4 linked regions of the Oreochromis niloticus genome follow. The protein of the gene in region 4 purifies or fractionates together with the protein of the main gene of each other region. This does not show direct contact. Links are inferred from orthologs where the notes say so. Each region holds a gene or a part of one and is shown on either strand. Other genes may lie near its edges. The genes, in order: prim2, ciao2b, pole and mms19.

Region 1 (7,876 bases), on a different chromosome or scaffold from region 4:
AAACTGGTCATGCAACAGGACAATCAGCCTCATTTATTAATATCTATGTGGAAAAGGTCTTACTCCGCAAATTTCTTCCCACTCAAAATTACCACCAGATTTAGGATTATTATTATTTATTTTGATCTTACCACGATGCATACAATAGTAAATCATAGCTGTTCGGAACCAACAGTCCCATAGACTCGCCTTACAATTTGCATACTATCTGCCCCGCCCCAATTTTTTTCATATAAGGAAACATATTTACTTTCAGGGAAGCAGAGAAAATAGTGATTGTTCTTAGAGAGAAGCCTGCACCTCTAGGCAAGAAATAAGGAGAAAAGCTGTAGAAAAATAAGTAATAGTGTTTGAGGTCCAAGGAGGCAGCTGGAAGAGAAGCAGCTTTCCAAAGTGTTTCCACTGGACTGATGACTGTTTTTTTTTTTTTTTAAATTAATTAATTAATTAAAACTCTCAGGCTGAAATGATGGGAGAGAAGAATATAATTTTCCCAGAGAAACTCACTGTAGCTAAGTAAAAAAAAAAAAAAAAAAGCTTGAAGGTGATATAAAAAAAGACAAATTGTGTGTTTCTGAATAAGTCACAATCACAAGAAGACACAAATTTCAAGTTTCCAGTTGGAATTTTTTTTGGTGGTAAGCCTCCTCAACTATAATTTCCAGAACAAACCTGTTTTTGAAATGTGCCAAGTGTTTTCTTTAGGAAAGCTTACTGTGTCATAGCGGAGATTATTCTTGTGAAGAAATTCCAGTTGTTGTTTTGGGTCCAAGTCATTAAAACGGAAGCGGAAAAGATCAACTTCCTGTTGTATAAACCAGCGCCTCAGATCTTCCCTTTGAGAGACAAATGGAAATAAACATTTATCTTTTGCAGCTGAACAACTTCTATTCTGACCACATCTTTCAGTATTCCTAAATGGAGACTAAAGACTTACGTTTGGCAGTAGGCCAGTCTGAGAATGAAGTGGGAGATATGGTCTTTTCTTCGTTTTTCATATTCAGTTGGTCCACTTTGAGATTTCTTGTCATCCTTAAGGGTTAGAAAACAATTAGGTAATTTGAAAGACAAATAGATGTCAATCATCTAATCATCACTCACCACTTCTTGTCATGTTGTACAGTTTTTTATTTTATGTACATATATGAAAAAATGATCACATACTAAAAGTCATTTTTACGGTAGCTGTACACTAACTTCCATTATCTCAGGCTCTTGTAATTCAGCATAGGGTCTTAAAATGTTAGTAAATGAGTCACGTTTTCTGCAACACCCAGCAGTGTCTCTTCTTTACTAATACAAATACATTTTATTGCTAAATCATGCTATTTCATCACTATTGCAAAGAGAATTTGATGGATCCTGCGCAAGCTTAAGTTCTAGGGCATCAAAGTCAACACTGTGTTAATACACATTGAGCTATACACTGGCCTTACTCTAAAAGCTATGACAGTTTATTAGATACGTCTCACTGCCATTTTAAGGGGATCACAAGCACCATGAAGTGCAGTGCGATATTACAGGACCCTAACCAAATCCAAACCCTGTGTTTTCATTAAAACACGTAACAGGTAGAAGTTTAAAAAGAAATCTCTTTGTGATAAAGCTTTAGCTGAAGTTGTTGAAAACATAATGCAATAACGGACTCACTAATACTCTTTAAAGTTGCATAATGGGAAACATACTCACAGCATCTGGTCTGTAAGGAAAGTTCAGAGCTTTAAGCTCTTTCTCAAGTTTGCTTATATACAGGTCTGTAAGCTTGACATGGCTCACTCCCAAATTCTCCACAGTCTTCAACACTACAGTGGCAACAGACATTAGTAACCACATGTCCTAAATAAAATGTATTTCACAAGAGCAGAGAAAACAATGCTTACAGTAATTTTCATCATTTGAATTTCACTAGTATGAGACAAATCTTACACTTCAGTCGTTCCACAGCAAATGTTTCAAATTCAGAGAGAGAGATGTTTTCAAGAGGAGGCTGTCCATAAAACTGCAGGTGCTGCCCATAGAGCTCCGACTGAGGGTTAATGCTATTCTTCTTTCTTCTGCCTCCAAACTGCATAGTGCCTGATGTTAAGAGAAATCATGTATGTTTTCATGTACCACTTGGTAACAAGCTGGGTCCCAAACCTGCCATATCTGATGCAGTGAGCCATTTACCAAAGCGACCTTCAATACAAATTCATGACAATTAAATAAGCTGTTCTCATTTCAAAATGCATAACGCGTGATTTTGCCATTTTCTCTTTACTAGGAGTTGAATAAATAAAACACACTATTGTGGAGAAGACCCGAGCGACCTTTTAAACGCTTATGACTAACAAACATTAAGAAATTCATTGGCCTTTGATTTGACACAGTAAAGGATGCTGCTATACAAAATCAGAACAAACGAATTGCTGCAGGCATCTGCTATTAACCATTAACCAGTCTGTGCAGAAGTGGCACCCGGTATAACTTAAAGCAAAACTTGGCAAACGGAGTTTCTCCTTGACTAATCTTCATCACAGTCGCTCAATTAGGGATTAAAGAAAAGAGTCGAAATGTTTCTGACAGCTAGAAATTAGCCTCTACAGACAAACTGAACTGACAGGGTGAAGCTAGTTGGTTTGTTATGTTACACTGGCTCAGCAGTCAGTAACTGTCGTTCTCATAAACTCAATTTTTACGTTCGAGGCTAAATGTAGCCGCTAACTGAGACTATTTAGCTTATGTTAACAATAGAGCCCATAGCAAGAAGTTAATGGTAGGGAGAAAAACTCCAAATTTGACGTTTGCTAGGTATCAAATTTGAGTTTAAACTGCGTTGAAAAGACCGAGCTCGAACACAGCCCGAGAAACTTATTTCACGGTTCAGGATATAATACTGTCGTTACATTACCGATTAGATGACGGTTTTAGAGTCCTAATAACGCAGTCCCGCCAAACAAAGTGGGCTGTTCAACAAACGCGGGTTAAAAATATGACGTTGCATCCGACACCGGAAGAGAACGAAAGTTGTGAAGTGGTGTGTACTCGTTTTACTTTTCAGCACAGCCCGTCCCGTCTCTCAAAATAACGATGACCTCCATGAAAACTCAAGCAAAAAGTTTCTTTTAAAAGGATATTACCCAAATTTGTCATTTCACACTATGTTTCCATTTCTGTTTTTTTGGCGTTTGAACCAAATCCAACACAAACTCACGGGCCCATGTGTATTACATAACAAACGCCCCAATAAAACGCGGGTTCTTCTTATCTTCAAATACAGAAAATCTTTGTTTTTCAAACGATTAATAACAGTTTTAAAATTAAACCCAGATATTAAAAATAAATCATTCAGAAACCCATTTCATTTTCCAAATGCCCATTTGATAAGGTTGGTTGGACTGATTTTCTTCTGAAATATCACTACTCCACAGACAGTTTACCTATCAGATCAGCAAATATCCACAAATAAGGATTACTGGCACGTCCTTAGCATATAAACTTCTCTTCACACAGACACTGCATATGGATATACGGGTGTATATGCAGGAATGAATGAAACACCGCATGTTTGACACAAGAATGTTAGTTTTAAAATAAACAGAATATATTCTGTAAAGCACTTTCTGGAAAGGTTTAAATTCCATGTCATTTATAACTGTGATTTCTGTGGTCGAAATAGATCAGACATTTCGCATTTATTTTTCCAGTGTATGTAATCCAAAATATTGTGGTTTGACGTACAAAAGTTTTGTATTTAGAGAAATTGGTAAATGGTCATGTTATATTATAGAGACATTTTAGTTTATTTTGTGGCTAACTCAATAAACAAACAAAAAAATTCTAACCCAACTTCTGGTCATTTTTGGTAAGTTTCATATGCATACAGTAAAATGAACCTATACAAAACCAAAACGTCGTTACGTTTTTAACTGACATCAACCATTACTACAATTTTCTCAGCAGACGGTTAGGTGTTTTCTGCCTTTTAAAAAAATGAAGCTGCAGTTATTTAAAGTTATTTAACTAACTATTTGAAAGTTTCACATTAATGACACATATTCAGAAAGGGAGCAACTGTAGTGGAAATTAAATGTACTCCCTTTTAACACATTTCCGTGTTTCTGCTTTATAACATGCATTTTACTTCACATACCTGAAAGTAAAATGCACTTTTTAATCCGGTTGTGAGTAATTTTCACACGCTTTTTTCCTGGTTGTTGTGATATGGCCACATAAAGCACGCTTATAAGACATATATAATAGCTGTGAATAAAATAATATCAAAGCGGGGTAAAAACATGTGCGATAATGACAATAATTCAACTTTTAAACAGTCGTGACTTTTAGGGCTAACATATGAGAACTACAAGTGTTCCCAAGACTCCCGAGGACAGAGGCGCGTTCACGCCGACTCTCTTGCTTTGTGCATTCTTTGGCTCTGCTGCTTAGCAACAAACACTAGCGAGCTAGCCAACTGCCTGGCTAGCTCTCACGCGCAACGTAGCTCACTGAAATAGGCAGCAATGGATATCCATCCTATAAATGTCATGAGAGTGACCTCAGGTGTTGACAGTCAATAAACGGCATCTTTCGTTTAGGAGAGAACGTTTTTGCGCTAGACAGGGAAGAAGACGTTAGCGAACGGAGCAGAAGGTTGTCTTTCTTCTGTGAAAAGTGGCTAATCTTAGCTAGGCAGCCTTAGCACCGGAGTCTCTTGCGTCTCCTCTTGCCACGGAGAAGAGCGGCGGGAGGCTGTAGATATGTGGATGTGGGTTAGCTGACTGCATAACTCGCCTAATGTCATTGGATGAGTTGTAGCGTCGTTTTACAGGTAAGAAACTGCACGCTTCTTTGGCATGCTTTCCCATCATTTCTTCACCGTTTATTTCACCCAGCTTTAACGCACTACCTCAGGAGCTGCTCTGTACTTCAAGGGGAGCCTCCTTTCAGCAATTCAACAGGTCTTATCTTGACCAAGGCAAGGGATTTGAGTGAAGAAGAGGAGTGAGAAGTTAACTTCTAACTTAATTCCCATCAGAGACTATGAACGTATTACATATAGCAAAAGTCTTCGACAGAGTTGAATAGCTTAGTTGGGTGTCATGGCGTTTTGATCTGTGTTATTCAGTCTGTGCTTTAAAAAATTGTGGTGCCCCGCCTTGAGGCCTGGGCAAGTAACGGTAAGTCTATGAAGATGACTCACTGTCTAGCAAGGGGGGTGTATTATCTGCTTCATACTGAGCAGAATTCAGTACTATGTGCATAGCAATGCAAAGCATACTCTCCTACCATGTTATATAAAAAATGCAGTAGGCCTGTATATTTCAGATTCGGTGTTATCACATTTGTGTGGGGGGGGTAATACTGATCTGAAAACCCAGAATTTACTCAGGACAGTTGTTTGTGCAGGTATGGAGAATATTGTGTTTAAATATGTGTAGCTGATACCTGTCTTGAAGTGTTCGACTGCACCTTCCAGTCACTTCTTTAGAGCTTGAAAAAAGAAAGCAGCTGGACTTCTTTCAAGAGTCTTTTTCCCTTAAAAAAACAAATGGTGGAAAGTCACAAGTATTTACCCTGGGGGGGTACCCTTTGGCAGTGATCCTTACCCAGTATTGATAATGTGAGTCACCACATGAGCCAAGACGTAAAAAACCCCCAACTTGGGTCACTCACATTACCATCAGTGGGGGCTAAGAATGAAATCTCTGTGAGGCCTTGCCCTAACATGACCTATTGAGATCACCCAAGGAGAGTTGTGATTCATTTCAGAAATGTGGGGGATAAGACATGACCACAGTGCTAAAAGATTGCCCCACACTGTTATTGATACTAAGAGCACAATTATTAGAATAGAATAGAATAATCCTTTAATTGTCCCACAAGGGGAAATTTGGGTGTAACAGCATCAAGAAAGACACACATACAAACAAACAGTGCACAAGACACAGAACAGAAACATACACAATTTTTACATATTTACATCAAGGACAATTTTTACCAAAAACAGAGTACTGTACCGTTATTAAATTAAATAAAATTAAATACAGATAAGAGGTTATAGTGTGAATCGGTTGATAAAATAGTGCAAGTTACAGCGCTGATGTAAACCTCTATGTTTGTTGGGAGCAGTTTTGATTGTACAGTCTGACAGCTGCAGGGAGGAAGGACCTGCGGAAACGCTCGCATGAAGATCTCATATTCAGATCTCATTTTCAAATACTGTTAAAGCAAATCATCATCATTTATCTAAATCTGAATCATGTTGTTCTAAACCTATAGTAGTAATAAATAAACAATGCATAATCAGCTTCTGAACCTCCCAGTTTGACAGTTTCTGTGATGATAAAACACATTTAAACTACAACTCCAGAACCGACTACACTTGAATATGAGAGGACTAGCTGCTTGAAAGGAAGACGAGGTCTTTACTCAACTAAAGTGAAATGCAAAGTCAAGACTTTAAAATAATCCAAAAGTTTACATTAAAAGAAGAGCATACTATTCTATTTTCAGCTGTGTTTTGCCTTCATGTTATACCAACTGATGTGTCATTCGGCTCAATTACAGATACATATTGTGACTCAAATTCAGGCAGGCTGTTGAACACTACAGTCACGCAGTAGGCTGTCAGTGTCCACTGAGAACAGCTTTCCCACAATATGTTGTTTAGCGTAGCACTCAGCCACTCCACATATATAGCTGTGGGGACCCGGTTGCTATGCGGAGTCTGCAGTTTTCTGCACTAATGGAACAATAAACATAGTGAACCACCTCTCCAGTCAAGCTGAAAATTTGTTTTACAACAGTTAGTAAAATGTGCACCCATAACAGTTTAAAAGCTAATTACAGACGTTGTGTATGTGACACCGTGTATTAGAGTGCAATGAAGTGCTTGTGGTGCTGGCGAATATGATAATTATATTATTATGCCTATAAAAGTTGAGTTGTGACTGTTGGCTATAAAAATGTATTGTAAAACATTTTTTTAGGCTTGGACAACTACATTTGTAACAGTATATTGACATATCAAACTGAAAATAAGTTTGATTAGTATTAAAAATAAGTAGCAGTTAGTTGCGCCTCTGCTAATTTGCTTGATCGTCAGTTGCACTTTAACAGCATTTATAAGTAACTTATAAACTCAGTAACAAAGTTGGTTTTCATCATATTTGTTCAACTGATAACTGTCTCTGAAGTGAGTGATTCATATATAAACCACATTTGAGTTGCACTTGTCCAGTGTTTGTGTGGCTTTTTCTTTTTTTTTTTTGTAGTATCTAATATTTTATTTTACACTTTCAGCTGGTACATGTGCTCCCGTCACAGCTCTGAAACAACACAGGCACAGTGGAACTGAGAAAATCAGCCAGACGTCACCACCATGTTGGAGGAGGACATGGAAGTGGCCATCAAAGTGGTCGTGGTCGGCAATGGAGCTGTCGGCAAGTCCAGTATGATCCAACGTTACTGCAAGGGCATTTTCACTAAAGACTACAAAAAAACAATTGGAGTGGACTTCCTGGAAAGGCAGATACTGTAAGATAATCATTTGAAAGATGTTCTACTTTATTTATCAGTTATAGTCTATAATCAAAGTCGCAGAGGGTCTGTTAACTAACTACAACTTCAGCTGTATAAAATTGTTTTACAATATTAAATACATATTTCAGTAAGTGCATACTGATCAATGTGGAATCCTGTTGGTACCCACATTTTAGGTTTAATCAGAAATTACTCTTTTTTTTAAAAAAAATGAATTTGACTAAATTTGAGACATTTTACTTAAAAAGGCCACATATTATATTCAGCTTTTATTTAATTAACATTAATTATTATTATTTAATATTTTATTAACCACAGCACAGTGGTGCAGTGGTTAGCATTGTGGCCTCTC
Region 2 (7,400 bases), on a different chromosome or scaffold from region 4:
TTTCAGCATAGTTTGGTTTTATAAGGAGTAGTCATTTGAGCCATTGTGGCCTTCAAGTCTGGCCATTTTCTTCAACAAGGTATTTTCACCCAAAAACCTGCCTCTCACTGGATATTTTCTCTTTTTATTTAGACCATTCTCTGTAAACCCCACAAGTGGATGGAGAGTGGGGAAACCCCACTAGATAAGCATTTTATAACATGCTCAGGCCAGCCAGTCTAGCACCAACACCTTTGCCACATTCAAAATCACTTAAATTACACTGAAACTTCAGCGGATGACCTTTCTCATGTATATATGTTGAAATGCATTTAGTTCTTCACATATGAGTGGCTGATTAATAATTAAATGAATGAGCAGTTGAACAGATACACCCGACAAAGTGGCCAGTGAGTGTATATGACAAATGTAACAGGTAGAGTTTCTCTGCATTTTCACACTGTTAAAATTTCCAGGTGGAAGAATAATTTCTTTGTCCAAACGAGACTGTGTTATGAGCTTACACTCAGATTATATTATTCTTTGGGAATTTAAGAATTGGCTTTCTCTGTACTCTTATTCAGTAAATGTTGCCAATGTACAGAACCTGTATGATCCTGATCACGCTACTCATACCAGGGGTAGGGGTGTGCAGATAGTTGGTAGATACAAAGCAAGTTTTCAAAGAAACCAAACATGTCCTCCTGCAAAAATCTGAGTCTAAAAGCTGACAAGGCTAAAGTTGGCTGGCTGTTCAGATGCTCCTGGTGGACAGACACTGGTTGACCACCTCCAGTAGAGATGCATTCTCCAGAGCTGCTGCCACTCTCTCTTTGTCTGCCAGCTGTTTGTTCACTGTACACAAAATGACATAAACAGTATGATAAAAAATGCATTAGATTATACTGGTAAAAATGGTCTAAAATTCCATCTCGCCTCCTTTCTCTCTATGGAGTTTTACCTGCTTCCTCTGAAGCATGAGTCCCAGGAGTGATACAAACATCAATCTGAGAGGAAATAGAAAAAAATATACTGTAATGTAGGCCACAACTGAAAATAACAAAAGATTAAAGCACAGAAAAATTTGACACTGTAAAATATGCTTAAGGTTAAATGTGCATGTCATGTGAAAAAACATGCATAAACATACTTTGAACCTGTCTGGCAGGGAGCGCAGAAGTTTGACTTTGATTGACAGACCAATGAGTGTTGCCATGCTGCAGTGAGGGATGGTAGGTGTGAACTCAACACCCACAGTATTCTCTGCATCATTAACCTGAGGGAGCATACACAAATAATAAACATCATTCATCAATTTATCTTCCTAACAGCATACTGCATTCATTTTTAACAATGAAATTCACTGTAAATACTTTTGAATGAAATGCTTGTTGTTGGATTCAACTGTCTTCAACCATTTTCTTTACTAAAGTATCTGCAAGTGTGTTGCAGAGCATCTTTTTATTTCCTTATTCACACTATTACAAACATAGGAAAAATGTATAAAATAGGAAGCAAAAAAAAAAAAACCAAAAAAAAAAAACCACACACCTTAACTCGAACTTGCTCCACAACATTGAGCTCTTCCAGTGACAGTGGATGCTCTGGGTCATTGATAGATCTGATCAGATGTAACTTTAGTTAAAGAATTCAAGACGGTATAATACAAATAATAAATATTTCTTTTTCTGCACTACTGTAATCACTGTACTAATGATATTAAAGTAAAGATCCAACAATATTAGAGAGAAACGCCAAGAATGATATCGCCTGTGAAGCAAGTGTTTGGTAAAAGTGGAACAGAAGAGCTCCCTTGTAACAGGGAGAGACCTCCAGCAGAATCAGGCTCATCAAAGTACTACCATTGGCCATAACCAGTTGGGAGGAGGGGAAAGAAAGGACAAGAAGAGAAAACAAATGTTAATAAGATGCATCACTGGCATGTAAACACATTAGGGGTGAAAATAAGTTGTATAATGCCCAGAAGCTTCATCAAAAACTTAAGTCTGAAGTCTGATCATAAGTAGTAATGGTGTGTGTCTCCTGAACCCAAACTGGTAGCTAATGGCTTAAAACTCATTGTACAAAAGATTGAAGCATAGTCTATGAACCACAAGTGAACCTGTTTAAAGAGGTGCGATTTTGTAATAAAATAAACTGTCTGATCCTTTGACTTTAAGCTGTTTGCATAGCCACTGTACATAGGTCCAAGAAATCATTCAACTAATACTAACATCAGCTTAACAATAACTCAATTACAAACTGTCAAATTGTTCAAATTATATAATAAAATATATTTACAAAAATGAGACAATCCCTGAGAATACGAATTGCGTAACCCAAACCATTAACGGTATTTATAAGTTTAATCTACCATGGTCAACTAACCTATTAAAACACAGTTGACTTCAAAATGTTTAGTTAAGTTTTCAATACTAAGAAACTGACTATTATTACCTGTCGGCAAACCCAGATACAATCGGGCTACTTCTTAAACTGCTGTTAACTCCCTCGATTTCACCTCATTATCTAGCTGAATGGCACTGGTATTAGCGTTTAAGTCAGGCAAATAATATAATACATAAACATCATTAGAAAAAAGGATAAAGGGCATATCTCTAAGGTGTAAATCCACTCTAAACCACAGTAAAACATTTAAACAGGATATCGAATATTTCTCTGTCGTCGATGGGGTCGTGGACGTCTTCATCCTCTTCGGATGCCGTCTGTACTCTCTCCCCCGACCGCTGAAAAATCACAGGGTTTGCATTCTCCAAGCGGGTCCCCTCGGACATGTTCAGCGCTTATTTTAGTCCACGTTAAACAGTAAAAACCTCGTATTTTGTCAGAGCTTGCCGCTGCAAACGAGCTGTACAACTAGCGCCCTCATGAAGTACTTCCTGGAATAACGGAAAGCCGCAGAGTCCAAAACATAAACGTTCTACAGTCTTAAAGGAACAGTACCCGCAAATTCTTTCCTGCTAAATACGCATTCTTTCAGTAAGATACGTATTCAGTTAACTGAGTGCCTTTTCGGACGTGAGACGGAGTAAGCTATACAGATGTTTGTTTGTTTTAAAAAAAAAATGCCATTTAAATTTCCTTTCATAGTCTTTGCTTATTCTCTTGTTATGTTCAAATTTTCCCAGGCTTCCCATTTTGAAGGCTTTGACTGTACATATAATTTTTTTTACTGGCATTTGTCTCCCTGGTTGTCCGGCAGATGGCAGATACCGCCCATTTTAGCACTTGACACCAACAACCTTACGCACAAAATACGCTTTAATAGAAGTGTTGTTGCAATAACAATATACTGACCACAATAATCTTAATTTCACATGACTTTTTACATGTAACGTTATTACGTTATTTTTTTTAAAATTTATTTTAGTTTGTGTGTTGTTGTTTTTTTAAACAAAAACATATTTCTTTTTCTCACAGTTCTTTTATTTTGTGCACACCTGAATCAGATCTAATTTGCATGTTCTTTCAAACACATTTGACCTATTATCGGGAAGAAGAGAGATTCTGCTTTTTCATCTATGCAGAGTAAAAAGTGTATCCTGATAAATTTATGACAAGCCACCAGTGGTAATTTAGATTGGTGGGCTAGCTATGAGTCCTCACTTTAGTTTCCTAGAATTTCCTCTCTGTTAGCAAAGCTCGAGCATGATAATGAGATTATGTATCTGTATTCAAAGCTAAACTGGTATCTACAACTCAATTAAACACAGTAATTTCACCATTTTGATGTTAAGCCCCTACAAACTCATTGCAATGATTATCTTTGAAAAAATTAAAACAAACTGGTTATGGAAGCACTTTATTTATAAAATTAAATTATTATATGGTTTTCATTTCTGTACTACACAACTGCCATCACCATCAACTACTTCTATCAAGTCAGAATCTTAATGAACTGCTGCAGTCACTGGAAATGTGGAGCGTGGTTGATGTGAAGTTTTACTTCAGCCTGATATGTTCACCTTTTGAAAAAAATGTGCATATAATGAGACTGCACACGGCCGCTGACACATGTTTTAATAAAAATGTCATGGATAAGGGCAGCGACAGTTGAAAAGGGCGAAAATATTTTCCTAACTGTGACAATATGGACTAACAACCTTTAGATTCACAATTCTGGTTTCAGGTGGTAAAATGCTATTTATAAATAGTTGTTTCTGTGAAATTAGATATGACCAGCAGTGAACATTTTTTCTAAGCCCAATTTATGCAAGAATTACATTATCAGCACAGATGACTCCAAAACCTCAGTGTCTTGCAACTACATGAAAAAGACTGAAAATTTTCATTATAAAAGGCAAAATCTTAATGAGCTACTAAATTAAAATCATATCAACATTACCAGTCTTAAATATCTCACAAGTTTAATGTCTAATCAGAACACCTGATTAGAAAACCTTGAGCATTTGGGGATGAAAAGTTTAGAAGCATGTAGATAAATGAGGCACAAACAGGAAAGTTTTATGTCTCGCATTAATGCAGTGCACTATCAGAATGAGAAGTAAGAGTTTGCTGCTGCATAATGTAGAGAGTCCAGAGAGGTGAGTTTTTCATGGTCTGACATTGTGAATGTGAAGGAAATAATATCCCGTTCTGAAGTCAAAACATTTGTGAAAAATGAACACTGTTTGTCAGACATGGGTTTCTTAAGCTTCTGAATTTAAAGAAGTCTTTTTTAAAATTCTCAACAGTACTGATAATAAAATGGAGCTACCTGTGGAGAGCAGCTTGCTGCTGCCATGCACTGTGTGCATTATGTGATTATTCCTCATTTGGTCTTTGTGTTCAGAGCATGGTGGGATTCCATATTTATAGAGAACCACTGGTGGTGTTGAGCCTGGAGCAGCACACCTGATGTGCATAATGAGACAACAAAGCTGCAGACAACCAGTTCACAGCTTGCCATAAAAATAGCAGCAAATGTTAGCAATATGCAGACATATGGGTAGATTATTTTCCTTAATGTCACAATGTATTCCCAAAAAATGGATTATGAGGACTATAGAGCAATTTTTATTGCAAAGAGGTCTTTAGGTTTGACTGTATTTGTAGCTTTTTGAAATATGCAGTGCAAAAATTAGGTGCAGAGAAATGGAAAAGCATAGAAGGCTTGAACTTCCCTCTCAAGTCAACTTTTAAATTACGGTAACTCATTTTTTCTGAGGACTGCCCAAAACTATGCACTGAGATTCCTATTAGAGTGAGAAAGTGGGCATTATATGGACAAAAGTACTGAGCCAAAAATGACACCTACGGGGACTGCTTGGCTGTAGAAACCCATGCCATGAAGCCCCCTGTGCACAGTTTTTTGTGCTGATGTTAATGCTAGAGGAAGTTTGGAACATTATTATTGACTATGGAAATCACTACTAAGTGACCCTGTTCTGTAACTTTACTGAAACTCATAGTTTCAGTCTTGAGACCATTTGTCTAATACAACATAGCTCATGGCATTAAAATAAAGACTAAAGACAATGTAAATGTGATTTATCCACTTGATGGACAGCAGTCACACCAGAACGCAGGTCAGTGCTTGACATTAGGAGTGTAAATTTCACTCTTGCTATGTGATGTAAGAACAGTAGCAAGAAGCAGACAGTCACTAAAGGACCCTGCATGTTAGTGTGATGGTAGTCCATAGGTGCCAGGCAGAGCTTTGTAGACCCATGTCTGTGTATAATAGCTGTCTACTGTCACCTCAGGCCAGGCAAAAATAGGTTGAATAACCAGTAATGTCGACTGCTATTTTTCATGATTCGGCTACTTGTTAGTTCTGTAGCTTTGCCCCTGCAGCTGAGGAGAAAGAAATCATAACATGCAAAGAACTTTTGTAGTGAAGGGAAACTGATTATCAAACACGAAAGGAAACTGTCCAGTGCAGCTACTCTCTGTGCTTCTCCTGTTTTTTTTTTTTCTTGATCTTTGATGTTTTTCACACTTCTCCCTGTTAATGGTGAGCTTTGCTCTTGCTCTCTTTTCTGTTCGAGTCAACTTTGCAACAAGTCATTATTTGACCTGTGGAGGGCATTGCACTGATGGCCTTTTGGAGGTTGAATCCCTCATATCCCTCTCTCTGCATATCCAGGCAGCTACGCAAATGGTCACCAGTGTGGGAATACAAATCCTGGAAAATTTTGAGAGATTTTATCATTTTATTTATTCATTTTTGTAACAGAAATAAAAGCAAAATAAAACAAATATACTTCCAGGAGAACAAGTCTTGTCTTGCATGCAGTCACCTTTACTTGCAAATTATTAGGATCATGGTTTAAGTTTATAAAGTAAAAGACATCAGTGAAACTGTATCATTTAAATGCTTTAAAAATCTCTGCCACATCAGCATAAAAGCTAATTTTTTCTTACCGGGTTAGTGATTTCCACCTGTACATTTTAGGTTTAACTTGACACACTGCTGCCATATTTGTGAACCTTCATTTAAAAAAAAGTTGACCAATATTGTGTAAATTCTGATCATTCAAGTTGTAATTAAGCCCAGAAAGCCATGACCTTTTGTACTATGGGTTTTGGCCACTGGAGCACATAAAATATATTATACATATTGAGGCAAACTTTGCAGTCTCACAGAGAGTTTCTGTGTCTTGTCAGAAAATGAGATGCCTTTCATCATTTATGAAATACTGAATTAAATATACAAGGTCAAAGGTAAACTTTTGGAGGAGAAATACAAACTATAGAAACTAGACTTTTTTTTCTCTTTACAAAAGCTACAAACAGAGTGAACAATGAAGTTTGAACATAGGCTTTTATATTATGTGTTCACTCATGCTAAACCTATGTTTTGTTATTCACTGAATTAAACATGAAATTGCAAAATGAAGATCTTTTAGTTTTAAATTATTTATCTAACTCATGGTTTATAACCATACTGTGAGATGAGAATGGATGAGAGATCATGCTTCTTTTTAAGTTTCAGGTCGCATTTTCCTCTTAAAGAGGAAAGTATCACATTATTACAGTTCTGACAAATTATTGTTCAGTCTTTTAGAATGATGTATTGTTCCAGTTGAAAAGTTAATAACTATGTGTTTTATAATTGCAGCCTTTTAGAAATGTTCACATTTTCCTTTTCAGGAGTTTGCTCATTGTTTCACATTAATGTGCATATTCAGAGTGACTGCAACAGTCACAAAGTGACAGCAGAAGATGACTTACTTTGGAAAGCAATTTCGAAGAGTCAGGAAGAATTTCTTTTCTGCTTTTACCTCGCCCTCGGGGGAATTAGGTGAAGGAACCAGCCAAAGAGACTATCATTTGAACAACTATTTATAAAAAGCATGTGGCAGAACATTTATTGAAGGTGTAAATTAAACTAGCTCACAATTTTTAACAGCGGCTTCAGCGTTTTGTGTGTCTCATTTAATATCATCCAGCGACAA
Region 3 (7,027 bases), on a different chromosome or scaffold from region 4:
TACCCACTTCACCTTTAAAGTAAGTAACTGGCTTTTACAGAAACAGGAAATAGGCTTACCAATCAAAGAAGTCTCCATTGTAGGTCACAAAGATGTTTGGCTTTGTTTCTTGAACGTGATCAAACCACCTCTGAATGAGAGCTGCCTGCAACCGTTACAGCGTGTTATTAAACTGACAGAAACACACAGCAGCCTTTTATACATCAATGCTTTATTGTTAGTGGCTACATACCTCATTGTCCTCATTAAAAACAGTGAATGGCCCTTCATACTCAGGTTTGGGGGTAAACTCAAAATCCTCAATGTTCTCAGAGACGATCTCTCGGTTTGTGATTAGAAACCCCTACGTGAAAACACAAGGATTGTTAGATGATATTACAAACAGGATCATAACAAAAACTTTAAAAATCAAACGCAAATGAACCTCACCTGTCCATCTATCATGTAGGAGATCATCATAATTTGATCCGTCTCCGCGTCTGGGAATTTCAGCGGAAGCTTGGTGGTCTCGATGTCAAACGCCAAAACAACGGGGTCCTGCAGGGAAACAGCGTTTCACAGAAAAGCCCCGACATAAATCAAAACTTCTGTATAACTCTGAATGGATGATGGAAGGCTTAAAACAACAAAATCCTGATACCGGTCGCTCCACAAGATCGTCTCTCCGTACAATCTCTGGCGGGTAAGCGCTGCCTCTGTATCGAACGTTGTACCAGTGAGCCTGAAAAATAAAGACAGTAAAGATAAGAAGAGCACGCACAGGTGTAGAGGAACATTTCACTGGAAAACACTGGAACCAGATATAGTTGATCTTACCACGTGGATCTTGAGGTCAATGGACACACGCACATGGTAAGGCACGTCATACTCTCTCATGTCCACTATGTTGTCTAACTGATCTGAAATACTCTTTGACATCCCGTCTTCATCCACTGAGGTCACGTTGCCTCCTGATAGCGCACTAAAAGGACAAAAAGGTGTCCGGGAGTTATTATAAAGCTGGAAACGTCAGGCGGAACATCAAAGGAATCTAACGGGATCGAAGGTTCGGTGATACCTTGACAACATTGAGGTGTAGGCATCGTTGGACTGCTCCCTCTCTCGGTTTTTACGTACCGCCGGGGCAATCTCACGCTTGACCTTCACGAGGTCGTCCACGGTGTTGAACGCCAGCTTGATGTAGTTTCTCTTCAGTCCGACAAGGTGGTTTGGCTGGAGAGACCAGATCAGCAGAATCAGCATGTGATTGGCTGTACAAAGTCAACACTAGCAGCCAATAGGGTTCATGATACCTTCAAAAACACTGATATTCAAGAGCCGTTTTTTTTTTAAATACTAAGGACAAGAGTGCCACAGTGGTAAGAGGATATATTTTTTTAGATTTTTCTTAAAAGACGTACACTCACTTGACCACTTTCTTAGGTACAGCCATTCAACTGCTCACTGAAACAAACCACCCAATCACATGGCAGCATCTTAATGCATAAAAACAAGCAGAAGTGGTCAAGACGACCCGCTCAAGTTCAAACTGAGCATCAGAATGTGGAGGAAAGATGATTTAACGGACTCTGAACGTGCCATGCCTAACAGGCTGGTCTGAGTATTTCATAAACTGCTGATCAGCTGAGTTTTACCTTCATAAACATCTCTAGAGTTTACCGAGAATAGTCCAAAAAAAAGGGAAAATATCCAGTAAGTGGCAGTACACCTCGTTGATACGACATTTTGATGGTTGAGTCAGAATCTGACATAAGCAACGTGAAAGCATGGATCATCCAGCCTTCCAGCCCAGTACTAGTGAGACATATCTAATGAAGTGTCCGGTGAGCATACATAAACAGATTAGATTTCTATATGACTGAAAATGTGTTGTGGTGGCGCTCTTGTCAAAAATCATCCATTAATTAACTGCCAACTATTCCTTCATTAATTCTGTGTAAATAAATATAGAAAATATTTATTTATCTACATTTATTTGACTTATTTATTTACTAACTATTTATTTATTAGATAACTTAAAGTCAGTTGAAACTCTCACCAGGTCCAGGTCTTCTTTTGGGAGAATTTCGAGCTTTGCCACCTTTCCTTGGAACTTCTTAGATAAGTATGAGATGACTTCTCTCTCGCAGTTCTGGACATACACATTTTGTTATTTATTACTTTTTAAAAAACATGTTCACTTGGCATAATCACAGTCACTAACTTACCTTTTTCGTCGCAATGTAAAAATATGGCTTGAAGGGCAGAGACACCTACAGCACAGACAGAATACATGAGAGAAAATGTAAAATGCAGGGCATTTAATAAGCTGCGTTACAGCACTCTGCTTTCCCCCCAAACACACCTTGAACCTGCTTCCATCCTCCTGTATGAAATAATAGTCCACCGCGCTGATCATCCTCTTGTCTTCATCCAGGATCTCTGCCTACAAATGCAGAGCATCAAAAATAAATGTTAAGTGTTTATTTTGCAGCAGACAGAAAGTAAAAACTGTCTCACTGCGAGGACTCACGGGGTGCATGTTGATCAGCCAGCCCGTTTTCTCTCCCGGCTCCTTCATCCTGTCGAATCCGAAGCGAGCGTCCATCTCGTCGGTGAACTGACTGCGCTCCAGCCGCTTGAGGGCCGATAAGGAGGATCCATCATCCCTGGTTCAAACACACGCAACAGTGACACTAAATCCTCACAGTCCTCGGTCATCCATTAATATTCTGAATAAGAAAGTGTTATGAAGTTTTTGAGCTGCTGGACTTACTGGCTTTCCGGATCCCCACTCGGTCCTCGGTCCGCTTTGTAGCGTCCACTGTTCTGCAGAACCATCTTCTATCGCGATGTTCTGGTTACAAAACACTAAAATAAAACAGCTAAATGTGTGCGTGAAGCCGCATTTGAAGACACGTCGCTTTAATTTCAAAGTTTTGTCTGCTGGATTTCTCTGCGCCTGTCACAGACTCGCCTGCTGTTTTCCTATTTTGGCGCGTTCCTGCAGTTGCCGCGAGAGGACGGAGCTGAGAACCGGAAGTACAAAGATCGTTAATAAGGGAGATGAATCCCTCACGGTGGTGTTGAGACGTATCTATTTAGGTTGAATGTCATGTTCATTGTAACGTTGGGGCTCATAGATGTGCCTTTAAAAAACAAAACAACAACAAAATAAATAAAAAAAACGTTAGAAAGCAAAGTGTTTACGTGATATATATATATATATATATATATATATATATATACACACACACTTTGATTTTAGTTTTTTGGGTAGACTACTAGTTTTTTGGGTAGACTACTGCTTCCTGGTAAAATTCAGCCTTCCCTGTCACATATTACCTATGATATCATATATGACATGACTTAAAAAACAAAAAACAAAAAACAAAAAAACTGTGCGAAAGGATCTCAATCAGATTTGAGTCTAGACTTTGGCACGGTCTCTCCAAAAACTTCATTTAGCTAAAAAAAAATGTTTCTTTGTTTCTAACCATTCAGTTGTGTACTTGTTGGTGTGTTTTCGATTATTGTCCTGCTGCATAATCCAAGTCCAGCCTTGAGCTTCAGGGCATGATCTGATGACCAGACATTCTCCTGCAGGACTTTCTGGTAGAGAATAAAATTCATGGATTCACCAATCACTGCAAGTCTTCCAAGTCCTGAAGCAACAAAGCTGTTCACACTACCACCACCACGTTTGACTGTTGAGTGTGTTCTTTTTATGAAATGCTATGTTAGTTTTACAGCAGGTGTAATGGGACTCAAAAAGTTCAGCTTTTGTCTCATCAGTCCACAAAAATCTCAGGGATCTGGGAAGGGAAGCTGTTTTTTTGTTGGCAAATGTGAGACGAGCCTTTGTGTCCTTTTTGTTCAGAAGTGGGTGCCTCATGGCAAAAAGAGACTAGGCAAAAATGGGTGCCATTTTTGCCTAGTCTCTTTCTTATTATTGAATCGTGATCACTGACCTTAACTGTTCTGGGTGCTCTTGGAGGATGACAACTCCTGGAAAGGTTCATCACACACATAATACAGAATAAACAGGAAATGAAAACAAAGGTGGGCATCATATCAATCAGATTCCATTATTTGAAAAAAAAAGGTGCTTGTTGATACATTGATTTTTTAATATGAACTGAACGGTCTTAAAGTTCAAGTATACTTTTTTCCCATTGTTCATGAACTCAACAGAAGACCGACGAACCAAACATTTTTCCGCTAATCGGAAGATGCTTACTGATTTCTATCGAGCAGGAACATCTCGAGTATACACGATCTTCAGAGGAACCCTTAACTCTGGGAGGAACCCCCTCCCCACGCACATGTTTACTCTCCCGCTGTGGAGTGGAGGTAGTGGTAGGTGACTTTGACATTTGTAGCTGCTGGCGAGGCACTGTCTATAATCATAAAGACATTGGCAGCGGTAGAGTTTGGAGGGATTCTGGGGTCTGTGTCACATTAATAAGATAATGACGGATGTGTTTTAATTCATGATAAGTTCCGAGTGGTGTGGAGGTGTGGGAAATAATCAGTGGGTTTAAATCGGTTAGCCTGGTACTGTTGCTCTCTGGCTGTGTGAAACAACGCAATCAACAACCCGGGAGCAGAGCTGCCCGGTTTCTGAGTGTGTGCAGGTGAGTGACAATGGCATGTTTTGATTTACACGTTAACTTTAACTTAAAAGACAGTCCCGTTTTTCTCCAGACTGAACTCTGGAAAAGATCAGATCAGTGGGCTGATTTAACTTTTATGTCAGGCAGAATCAGTTGTTGTGTTTAGTTCAACTTTTCTGTCAGAGTTCACAGATATTTGTAAGTTTACAAGGTAAAATGTTCACGCCAGAAGTTGGATGCACCTTTTTAAAAGTGACATAAAAAAAAAAAAACTCCTATAAAAAATTGATGTGCTTAACTTTTATTTAAAACAGGGAGTCATGTGAGAATAAGTCTGTTCTTTAAGGAAAAGCACAAGAGAAATAATTCATCTGCTATATGGTATCAGGATATATATTAAGAAAATAAAGATAAAAATGAAAAGTAAAGCTATTTCATAAATACATTCCTTCAGATCTTGTTGTTTCTCGAGGAAAGTGACGGTTTAGCCTTTTCCTTTTTTGCGTCAGCTTTAAATTTGCTCCAAAGGATAAATTCACTAATTTTGTGCTTCTATTATACAGACTGGATGTTAATAAATCTTTATATTTTTTCTTTATCTAAAAAAAAACATAAACAATGAAATCTTTCAATGGGACAAAGAACGCATGTGTCTAATTTAGATTCTGTATTTGGATGTGTTCAAGTGTTCCTGCTATTGCTGCTGTTTTTTATGGATGTTTTTTTTTCTTTCCCATCCTCCTTCACCTGAACTTCCCTTCCTTTCATTCCCTCAGTGCTGACCTTTACCCCACATGAAGCAGCGCATGCTCTCCATGTCAGCTGTTACAGGCAGGCTGTTTACAGGACTCTCGCTGGGAAATGTAGCCTGCAGCCAGGTCCAGCTGTCATAGATAACACACTCATGTGTGTATGCATAGGACTTAGTCACCTAAAGTATACACGTGACCTCTGAGATTGTAATTACTTCTCTTATTCTTACTTCTGTTTGACTGAATTTACTGAATAATTTACTTAATATATGAAAGTAAGAACTTCAGTGTTGCTGTCCTGAGAGAGTGTCTGACCTCTGACCTTCAAATCAGCAACTTAAACAGTACACAGAGACAAACACGACTTAGTATTTCAGTTTTTCTTATAGTCATGATGTATTTTAACATGCTTTAAAGAGGAGTTTATTTTTTATGGGGATTCATTAAGTTTGGACATCAAAAGAATTGTGCTTTTTCCAATGCTTGGAGAAAGACAAATATTTAATAGTGATAATAGTGATCTTTTAAAAAATAGTCTTAAACATTAAGTATATGAACAGTTGCCCAATTAAAACATAATAATGGCTGAAAAAAGCAATTACTTAGTTGTTTTCTTAGTTGTTATAGTCATCATTTGCCCTGAAATGGCAAGTTAAAACAGTCTATCCCATTTTTAAAATCTAGAAATGTCTTTTTTTCCATATTTCTTTGGGGTCATTTAATCTCAAATCACCTTTTACTTGACCATATTTTCCAAAAAACAATTTAATGCTGGAAATTGAAAATTTTGCATTATGTATCACAATCCTTTATACCCTGATAGTGGCCTTTCCTGCCATTAAAAATTAGTCAGGATCTGTAATTTGGGAAAGTTACACTGAAAAATTGGGAAAAATCTAAAAAATAAAAAATAAAACATGAAAGCAGTCCTTTAAAAAAATGCAACAATGTTTCATATGAACCAAGAATTCATTTTTCATTCCGCTTAATGAATCTTAATTGATTTACTGCATTTATTTGCATGTTCAGAGAAGATTATGTCCTTACTTGTTGTCTTTTTAATGCGTCTTAATAAATTTTATTCTTAACATGAATTATCAGACTCATCCAGGACAAAGTGTATGTGGTTTTTGATAATTAAAATCCTCCACATATTTAACAAAATTATTCTCTCAGATAGACTTAATGTACCACCTGGAAACTCCAGAATGTAGTTCTATTGCGATTAGACTATCTACTGATATTTTTGTTTTTTATGGTCCGACATGTCATATTTGGTCAATCCAGCATGAAAGCTGAACAAAAATAGCATTTTATTTTTCATTTTTGTGACTAAGAATTTCCTATTTATAAAGTCCTTTACATATTTTATTTTCCATTATTCTCAAATACAACTATAGACCATTCAGACATTGTCATTAGTTGTCTTTTGCAGAGTTAAGTTTGTTTTATTAATGTATATTCAAATATGGGACTTCACTGAAGGCTTTCATTACAGTGTCAAGGTCAAGGTCAAGGTAACTTTATTTATAGCCATAGGCGAGGTAAATTTGCTTTACAGTAAAATGACAGCATTTGGCATCCCTTCAATGCCAGCAATAGAAACGAAAAGAAACGATGAAAACTTAAAAACTTAGGACACCAAGCTCTCATTCACTGCCGGTCGCTGTGTGTGCATGT
Region 4 (7,310 bases):
ATAAATCACTCTTTGATGACTCTGAATGCTGTTATTAGTCATGTTGATTTTTATCATATTGGAGATGAAGAAGAGTGTAATGATTTTTTAGACTCTGACAGTATTCTAAATATAGTTTAAAATAAAGTTAATAAATGTATTCCAAGGTGCTGCACATCGACAAATCACCTAAAAGCAGCCTTACTGGGTCTGATTAATATCACCAGTTTGTAATTAAACTGTGTTATCTACAGTTGCTGTAACCTGCATGTTGTCCCTGTCAGGTCAGCTGAATAATGAAGATTCACTACTCATTTAAAATCTGGTTAGATCCCAACTGTTTTTTCAAAAAAATATATAATAATGAAATGATTCTGTGTAAATGAGTAAACATCTCTGCTGTTAAAATCACACTTTTCCCCTCTTCTGTTTTTTTAACGAAAACAACACGATCCAACATGACCCACAGAATTAAACAGGAGGGTCTTGACCGTTGCCATGGTGAACATAGTCTGGAACCAAAAACTCAGAGCTTACATTTAGAGTTTGTTAAATCTGCTTTCTGGAACAAAGCCCAGGTCACAGTACCATCCCTCCTGTAAACATTTCCAGTTTAACAACTGGTAGCTGAGCACAAGTATTTCACTGTCAGCCCTCCATTTGCATCTTTTACAGTATGGCTGTTATCCTAAAATATTAGCCAAACAGAGGACAGTGTGTCAACGCCTTCCATTACTGCTGTGAGATTGCCCGACTTTTAAAGCTCATGCTTAACTCTTAAATCACTGGTTACTTCAACATGACCTGCTTCCTTCCACAGAGCTTTCTGTCTCTATTAACTGAGGTTTTGTGAATCAAAACATAATCTCTTACCCGCCTCTCTGGTCTCCATGATGTTGATAAGCATGCTGTAGACACATGCTCTCTCTGATAGCATCAGAGACTGCAGGGGAAATAAATACATTTGTTATTAGTAGGAACAGTTTTAGATGAGTCAGTTTTACCAGCAAAAACAATAACAGAGAGGAAACAAGAACATCTAACAAGTGTGGCTAGATGTTTCCGACAGTGTGTTACATTAGGTTTTAAAAGCATTAATGTCGGAAAAATCAAACAACTGCGAAACTAGGAAAAGTCATAAAACGTCCACTAAAGTCAGAATAAACAACTCAGACAGTCGAACTGTTGATATCATATTACAAAAAAAAAAAGTGGAATGTAAAATGTGAATTGTTTGGTTAATCATAATAAATTATTTGATTAATGGTGAAAACTCATGCACTGCAAATTGCTTAAATCTAATTTCTAACATTAGCATTTTGTCATAACCCTCCAAGTACAGTGATCTAGATTAGTTATAAATGTAAGGTGATTTATTTATAAGCAACAACTTGATCTTGACAACAATTTCGGTTAAGTAAAATACATAATGCAGTCTTTGTAAAATCCATATTCTCTTCAATTCCAACTTTAAAGAACACAAACACATCAAAGCTCACAACTAAGTATTGAAACTATGAAATTATGTAGGTAAAAATCAATCCAGCACTGTTGTTATTCCTCACAATAACACTTTAAATGTACAATATGACAGTCTCACCTGTACATGGATGTCCTGGAACACTGACCTCAGCATGGACACAGCTGAGCCAGGAGGCAGGTTTGTACATTTTGTCTGAATGGGGGGAAAAATGCACATTAAAAAAAAAGAAAGAGGAAATGCATAACCTGCCTCACATTTGGAACTTCTCAAAAAAGTCCCCCAGCCTGAAATAAAGTTACAGATTTGAGCAGAAACAAAATGTTTTCAAAGAACGACTAACCAGCGCCTTGAGCCCCTTTAAGACGGGAGGTGTGACGACATAATGATCCTTCAGACGGTTTTCATAGAAGGCAATGAGCACTTCCACTGTGGAGAAGAACAGGAAGAAATGCTGAGTGCTGATCGCCCCTTGACATGAATAAGCGTCATCGGAAGACATATATGGATATAAAAATGCAGTTATTTGAAAGCATTTTTGATTTGTCACTTTGCACGAAGCCGTACAATGCCAGCACAGTATATGGAAGGAGAAAGGTGTACCTTCTCTCTCTGTAAGATCTCCATAGCACTCCTGCAAAACCTCAGAGAGCAGATGGACTCCTCGGGCTCGAGTGTGAGGCTGAGAACTGGTCAGACTGGACCTTTAATAGGAAAGGGAATGAAGATAGAAGTTGGTATTAGATAGGAATGTAATTGCAAACTCTGGCTGATATTTTCCCCTGACATGACGATGAAGATTGCTTACCCCAGTGCTTCCACCAGCTGCAGAACTGTAAACTTCCCATCTTTGACACCTGATCAAAAAACCCCCAAATAAGTTTAGTGAAGTGGAGTGATGCGCTATCGCAATGCAAATACACGCATGCTCTAACTCTAGTAGCTGTACCAGGTTATAACTCAAAGGTAAGGCCACAGGGTTCATTGACAGGGTACTTCTACACAAACACAGCAGCTAGCAAGCAGCATGTGCTTTAACCGCTGCGGACTAGCATCAAATTAAGAGTCCTTGTGAAGAGACAATGTGTTCAAACTTGATGCATACATCCAGAATGTGCATTTACGCCAACAAAATGAGCAAATATATTTTCACGGCGAATGCTTGCTCTTTATCTTGCGGTTACAACACTACACAGGATGTTGTAGCGCTAAGTTAGCTAGTTAACCATCACGTCTCGCTGCGCATCCTCGAAGAGCAGCTCTACAGCCTCTCCCGCGTTACTTTTGTGAAAAATGCATCGTAAATGTCACCGGCAAACCGCGACGAAAGCCTTTTACCTTTTGCCGCATCTTTAGCCTTGCTGTCCTGCAGTCCAGACACAAATTCCTCCACCAGAGACAGCGCCAAGGTACTCTCCGCAGCCATCGTGTCCCTGTAACTACTTCGCTGGCACTACGCATGCGCGAAAACTTTAGGTGAATCGCGAAAAGCGACTGGTTTTAGATTATAATCTCATAAAAATATAACCTTTAAAAACAGTATAATATTATTTCCACACAAAACAGTGTCTTTTCATCTTTATAGAATGAAAAGATTTACCGAATGGTGGAAGAAAAGCTTCAATATTATGTCCTTTAATGCTGCATTCACGTACCGTCCGAACAATACTCTACAAATACTAGAACTCGCAAAAGTGGAATTCTCTTGATGTTCCTGATGTACATCCTCTTCCTTCCACTGAAGTTTTGCTTTTAAGAGGTTCCAATTAATTACTACTAGTATAATTTCAAGTATAGACATTAGGAGAACGTGTAGCTGTTGTATGATAACTCCGGTGTACAAATTAATTTGCGTACTCCTGCATTCATAATTGTGTCAAGTCCTGACGCAATAGAAACCAACACCTGGCTGGATGCTTTTGCGCAAGCGTAAAGAAAAAAGTTCGGCGGCGCTAGCAGACCGCCGCTGGTCACCTTTCACCAGCGAAGTGGAGAGAATTTTTTTTTGGGGGGGGGGGCTATTTAAAGAAAAGACTGTACCGAGCTCGTCAAAGAACTGAAGTACTCCTTCGTACGGCGGACAGAGGGAGGCTGTAATGACCCGCTACGTTTGTCATAGACGGAACATGCGGGGAAATGATCTCGTGCGCGCGGAAGTTTGTGTTTACTTACGCCGCGGTAGCTAGCGTGTTGGCCCTGTTAGCCTGTTAGCGAGAAAGGTGCGCTGTGCCTGGACGGGTTAACAGCAACACTTACAAGTCAGCCCAGCTTAACGAGCTACGTTAAACAGTAGAAACATACTGTATATATCCTGAAGCTAACAACGAGCTGGTGGCAGATGCTGCGGATTGCTCAAACTCTTGAAACATTGGTGCGGGCCACGAGCCGTGAACTCTGCGTGCGCGTGTCACACGCAGGCAGAAATTATTTACAAAGAGGGCACTTTAAGCCCTAATCTGAAACGTATAGAGCTGCAAAACGTGATTTAAATATTAACTGCCGCCCTCAGTCTTGCGTCGCTGTGCGCACGAATCATCCTCCTCATCGGACCTAGTACAACATCCTCGTCCGCAATGGGGCCCCTGTTTAGCCATTGAGACCCGTGGAAGCGATCTGGAGCCCGTTAACCATGGGGGGATGTATGGGCAGATACTTGGAAGGCTGGGAGGACTCGCAGAGCCGGGGCTCCTCCAGGAACGGTGGACGAGGAGGTAAGGCAACATTGTGTGGATGTTGTATAAATATGCGGGGAGGTTTCTTTGAAACATCAGAGCTGGAAACTTAAAATCATACAGCAATAGTGTCTCTGACCGTTCATGATTAGTGATGCCAAAAAAAAAAAAGAAGAGAGAAATATTCCTGCGTTGATAGTTTTGTGTTGCCAATAGCAATAGCAGGTTTAGACTTTACTCAGAGTGCATTTCTGGTCACCACTTGGCCCTTTTTTGTCTTGTGGCTGCTGTTAAACAGAGGTATCTGGGCAGGTGCACGAAATCTCCATTCACGATTACTCACACACACATCTTAAACATGTATGAATTGTTTAGAAGGGGTTTAGATCTGGGTGGGTTGGTTAAAGTTACCAGATTGTCTAGTTACAGAAAGTGGAAGCAGGTTGGGAGGTGGCAGTTTGCATTTTGTGTGAGGAAAGTGGATTCTGTTGTAGCTCTCTTTGATGTGTGCCTCTTCTGCATCGGTAAAAAAAAAAAAAAGGAGTTTATTCTTTAGCTTTGACAAGGTTTTTTTCTCATCTTATCAGTTCAGACTGGTGAAGCAGTATATTCAGATAACATCTGTAACAAAGCTGATGGCAGTAAACTCGTTGGGTAATTTTCGTATATTAAAATCTAGGGTGTAAGCTCTGTGTTGTGGTTACTGTAACAGCCAGCTACATTACATTAATTCCAAAAGTTGCTCTCTTTTCACATCAGTTCATGTCTGTTGGTTACGGACTTTCCTGAAAGTTAACATAATAATAAACTGCTACTTTTTTTAACCAACCTGAAGTTAACCATCAACACACAGGCTCCGTGCAGCTGAATTATTAGACACTGGGAACTTCTCCTTAGTTTCGATTTACAGAAAACAATGCTGATTATATTTTGTGTGACCTTGTTATGATACCCTCAGTCATTATTGGGAGATTAGCGCTTTACAGCCTGGTAGGTTCATGAATGGGGGTCACATAAACACATTGGGATGGGAAAAGACTTTTCAGCTTTTTCAGATTTCTGTCATATTGCTTTAAAAGCATGCTCACTTGTGTGACTACAGTGCAGGCCCACTTGAGCTCAGTGTTTGCCTTAGAGTGGCTGCTCAGGAAACTAAATGTCTGTTATTCATTTGGATGCAGGTTCTGTCCCTTTGATTTGTTACTGCTGGAAAGTTTTTCAGTACGCCTTTTTCTAGTGGGAATTGTCTCCAGTTTGCATCAGAAAGATGGGAGGTTTTTAAGATTGATTCCAGCTTTCGCCATATAAAAAAGGGCGTTGTTTGAATAGACTTTCTGACCCCTGCTTATAGAGTTGCATCCTAAAATTAGACACTAACATAGATTTTTGATGCCAATATGACCTTCTAAGTAAGTTTCTTTGTCGTGTGCCAGAGTAGCTATTTAAAGTTAAAGCTGTCACAGCCAGCATACCCAGGCTTTCTGGCAGTGGCTCATGTTGATTTCCCAACTTGATTAGACTCAACATGCTCCCTTTGCTAGACGAGGCTTCGATCAAGAACAAGTCACATCATGCCCCGCTGCATCATTGACTGACACTGACTTTTGTCTGTTACATACACGCTCATAAAGAAACACCACTTGATAAGAGAAGGAATTGGATAGCTTATATGGGATCTCAATTTTTCCATTTGTTCTAATTTCGTTTGGATGAGAGCTCAGTAATTTGTGTTACTATGTTCGTGTTAGGTCTGCCTACCACATGCTCAAAGGAACAAAAAGGAAGCTTGTTTGTATTGTCATGCTGAAACAAAATAATGGAAGAACAAGTTTGGACTTTAAATAAAGATATGCAGACACCCGTTGAAATTATCATTTGTCCCAATAAAGGGATTTTATTGTGGAAGTGTTGGAAGTTACAGAATATACAAGTTAGTAACACATTTAGAAGCAGCACAGATGTAACTGAAAGGTGATTAGAAATGCACAATTTCCAGTTTATCTTAAATATTGATTTTTATAAAGTCAAATATCAATCAGGCTTTAAGAGTATATAAAACCTGCTGAATATATATATTCACAAGGTTTGCTTGCTAGTTTTGTAAATCCCTTAATAATAACAGTAGACTGATTAGCCACGATAACGTCAAAGCTCTCAAAGATTAGGATCTCAAGAATCAACAAAATAATTCACTGGAAACTAAGCTGAACTGTGAAGGAAAGTGAAACCTGCCCGTTCCAAGGTGGTGTATCTATTTTGAATGTAATTGCTTCAGAAAATAGCTTGATTAAGGAGAAACACATTAATTTAGTTGACAATGTCTGTAATTTAGTGGTGTTGTGCTTTTTTGTTTGTTTTTGTTTTTGTTTTTTTAAGCATCTCTGTAACAGTGGTTTGCAATTTCAGTCAAAAGCAAATATAGATCAAACCTCAAACCAGCTTCCCCATGAGTGACTCTCAGCACTGTTTGTATCCAGCTGTCTCAGACTAACCAGAAATCAGCTGGGCTGTTGTATTGTCATGTCAAGGCTCGATTCTGACATGGAGGCGTTCAAGTCATAGTTTCACTTTATTGGCTCGTCTCGTACCGAGCAGGGTTTCTGCTACATCAGCACATCATCGCTATGGTTGAACCTAGGGCTGCTCAATTAATCGAATTTTAATCTCGATTACGATCTGGGTTTTGAACGATCATTAAAAATGACTGAGCCGATTATTAGCACCTCCCTCGTGCTTTACTCTCGCGCTGCTCCGTGTGGCAAATCGAGCGCACCTCTCTGCGTTTCGAACACGCGTCACAACAATTAAGAGGACCCGAGGGAAGCTCGGAAAGCTAAGCATAAGTTATTTGGAGAGGAGAGGATAATGGCTGCTGAAGAAAGAATGCCGCTGGTTGAAAAGAGAGGTAAAACGACTTCAGTGGTGTGGAAACCAATGTTCCCTCTAAGCTGCGCATGTGCGCAATTGCGCACTGCTGGCACGGTCTCTGCGCACAGAAAATCTGCGTTGCGCACAAAAAAAATCTAACCTGAATTGAAATTAAAATTAAAACTTTAACAATTCTGTTTTGCAGTGTTAGTCAGTGAGTGACTGGCTGCTCCTGTATGGGATTAGAACGATGCCACCTTATCCTACAGTCCAGCCAATAATGCGATTCACATTCGTATATACGCAGCCAA

Evidence for each region.
Region 1: the proteins of mms19 (region 4) and prim2 purify together in Homo sapiens (affinity purification with western blotting; 5 studies listed by BioGRID and IntAct, with this or other methods). This does not show direct contact. The link is inferred for Oreochromis niloticus from reciprocal best matches to the Homo sapiens genes MMS19 and PRIM2.
Region 2: the proteins of mms19 (region 4) and ciao2b purify together in Homo sapiens (affinity purification with western blotting; 11 studies listed by BioGRID and IntAct, counting the BioPlex papers as one, with this or other methods). This does not show direct contact. The link is inferred for Oreochromis niloticus from reciprocal best matches to the Homo sapiens genes MMS19 and CIAO2B.
Region 3: the proteins of mms19 (region 4) and pole purify together in Homo sapiens (affinity purification with western blotting; 3 studies listed by BioGRID and IntAct, with this or other methods). This does not show direct contact. The link is inferred for Oreochromis niloticus from reciprocal best matches to the Homo sapiens genes MMS19 and POLE.

The regions. Positions count from the first base shown.
Region 1 is NC_031978.2:20,005,156-20,013,031, reverse strand, and holds the start of prim2 (DNA primase large subunit), read right to left. Parts: upstream 3,017-7,876; 5' UTR 2,891-3,016; intron 2,077-2,890; 5' UTR 2,072-2,076; coding exon 1,927-2,071; intron 1,803-1,926; coding exon 1,690-1,802; intron 1,033-1,689; coding exon 938-1,032; intron 837-937; coding exon 716-836; intron 1-715. Other genes in the region: rab23 (ras-related protein Rab-23), read left to right, coding at 7,364-7,518. UniProt on the Homo sapiens protein: Regulatory subunit of the DNA primase complex and component of the DNA polymerase alpha complex (also known as the alpha DNA polymerase-primase complex) which play an essential role in the initiation of DNA synthesis.
Region 2 is NC_031978.2:7,117,073-7,124,472, forward strand, and holds the start of ciao2b (cytosolic iron-sulfur assembly component 2B), read right to left. Parts: upstream 3,011-7,400; 5' UTR 2,775-3,010; coding exon 2,648-2,774; intron 1,611-2,647; coding exon 1,531-1,610; intron 1,256-1,530; coding exon 1,130-1,255; intron 987-1,129; coding exon 941-986; intron 835-940; coding exon 734-834; 3' UTR 1-733.
Region 3 is NC_031977.2:17,883,667-17,890,693, forward strand, and holds the start of pole (DNA polymerase epsilon catalytic subunit A), read right to left. Parts: upstream 3,006-7,027; 5' UTR 2,821-3,005; coding exon 2,756-2,820; intron 2,649-2,755; coding exon 2,513-2,648; intron 2,426-2,512; coding exon 2,345-2,425; intron 2,253-2,344; coding exon 2,208-2,252; intron 2,132-2,207; coding exon 2,039-2,131; intron 1,213-2,038; coding exon 1,058-1,212; intron 962-1,057; coding exon 817-961; intron 722-816; coding exon 641-721; intron 538-640; coding exon 430-537; intron 344-429; coding exon 233-343; intron 146-232; coding exon 60-145; intron 1-59. UniProt on the Homo sapiens protein: Catalytic component of the DNA polymerase epsilon complex. Participates in chromosomal DNA replication.
Region 4 is NC_031973.2:22,199,603-22,206,912, reverse strand, and holds the start of mms19 (MMS19 nucleotide excision repair protein homolog), read right to left. Parts: upstream 3,005-7,310; 5' UTR 2,886-3,004; coding exon 2,798-2,885; intron 2,317-2,797; coding exon 2,268-2,316; intron 2,164-2,267; coding exon 1,803-2,163; intron 1,655-1,802; coding exon 1,580-1,654; intron 923-1,579; coding exon 853-922; intron 1-852. Other genes in the region: ubtd1b (ubiquitin domain-containing protein 1), read left to right, coding at 4,089-4,170. UniProt on the Homo sapiens protein: Key component of the cytosolic iron-sulfur protein assembly (CIA) complex, a multiprotein complex that mediates the incorporation of iron-sulfur cluster into apoproteins specifically involved in DNA metabolism and genomic integrity.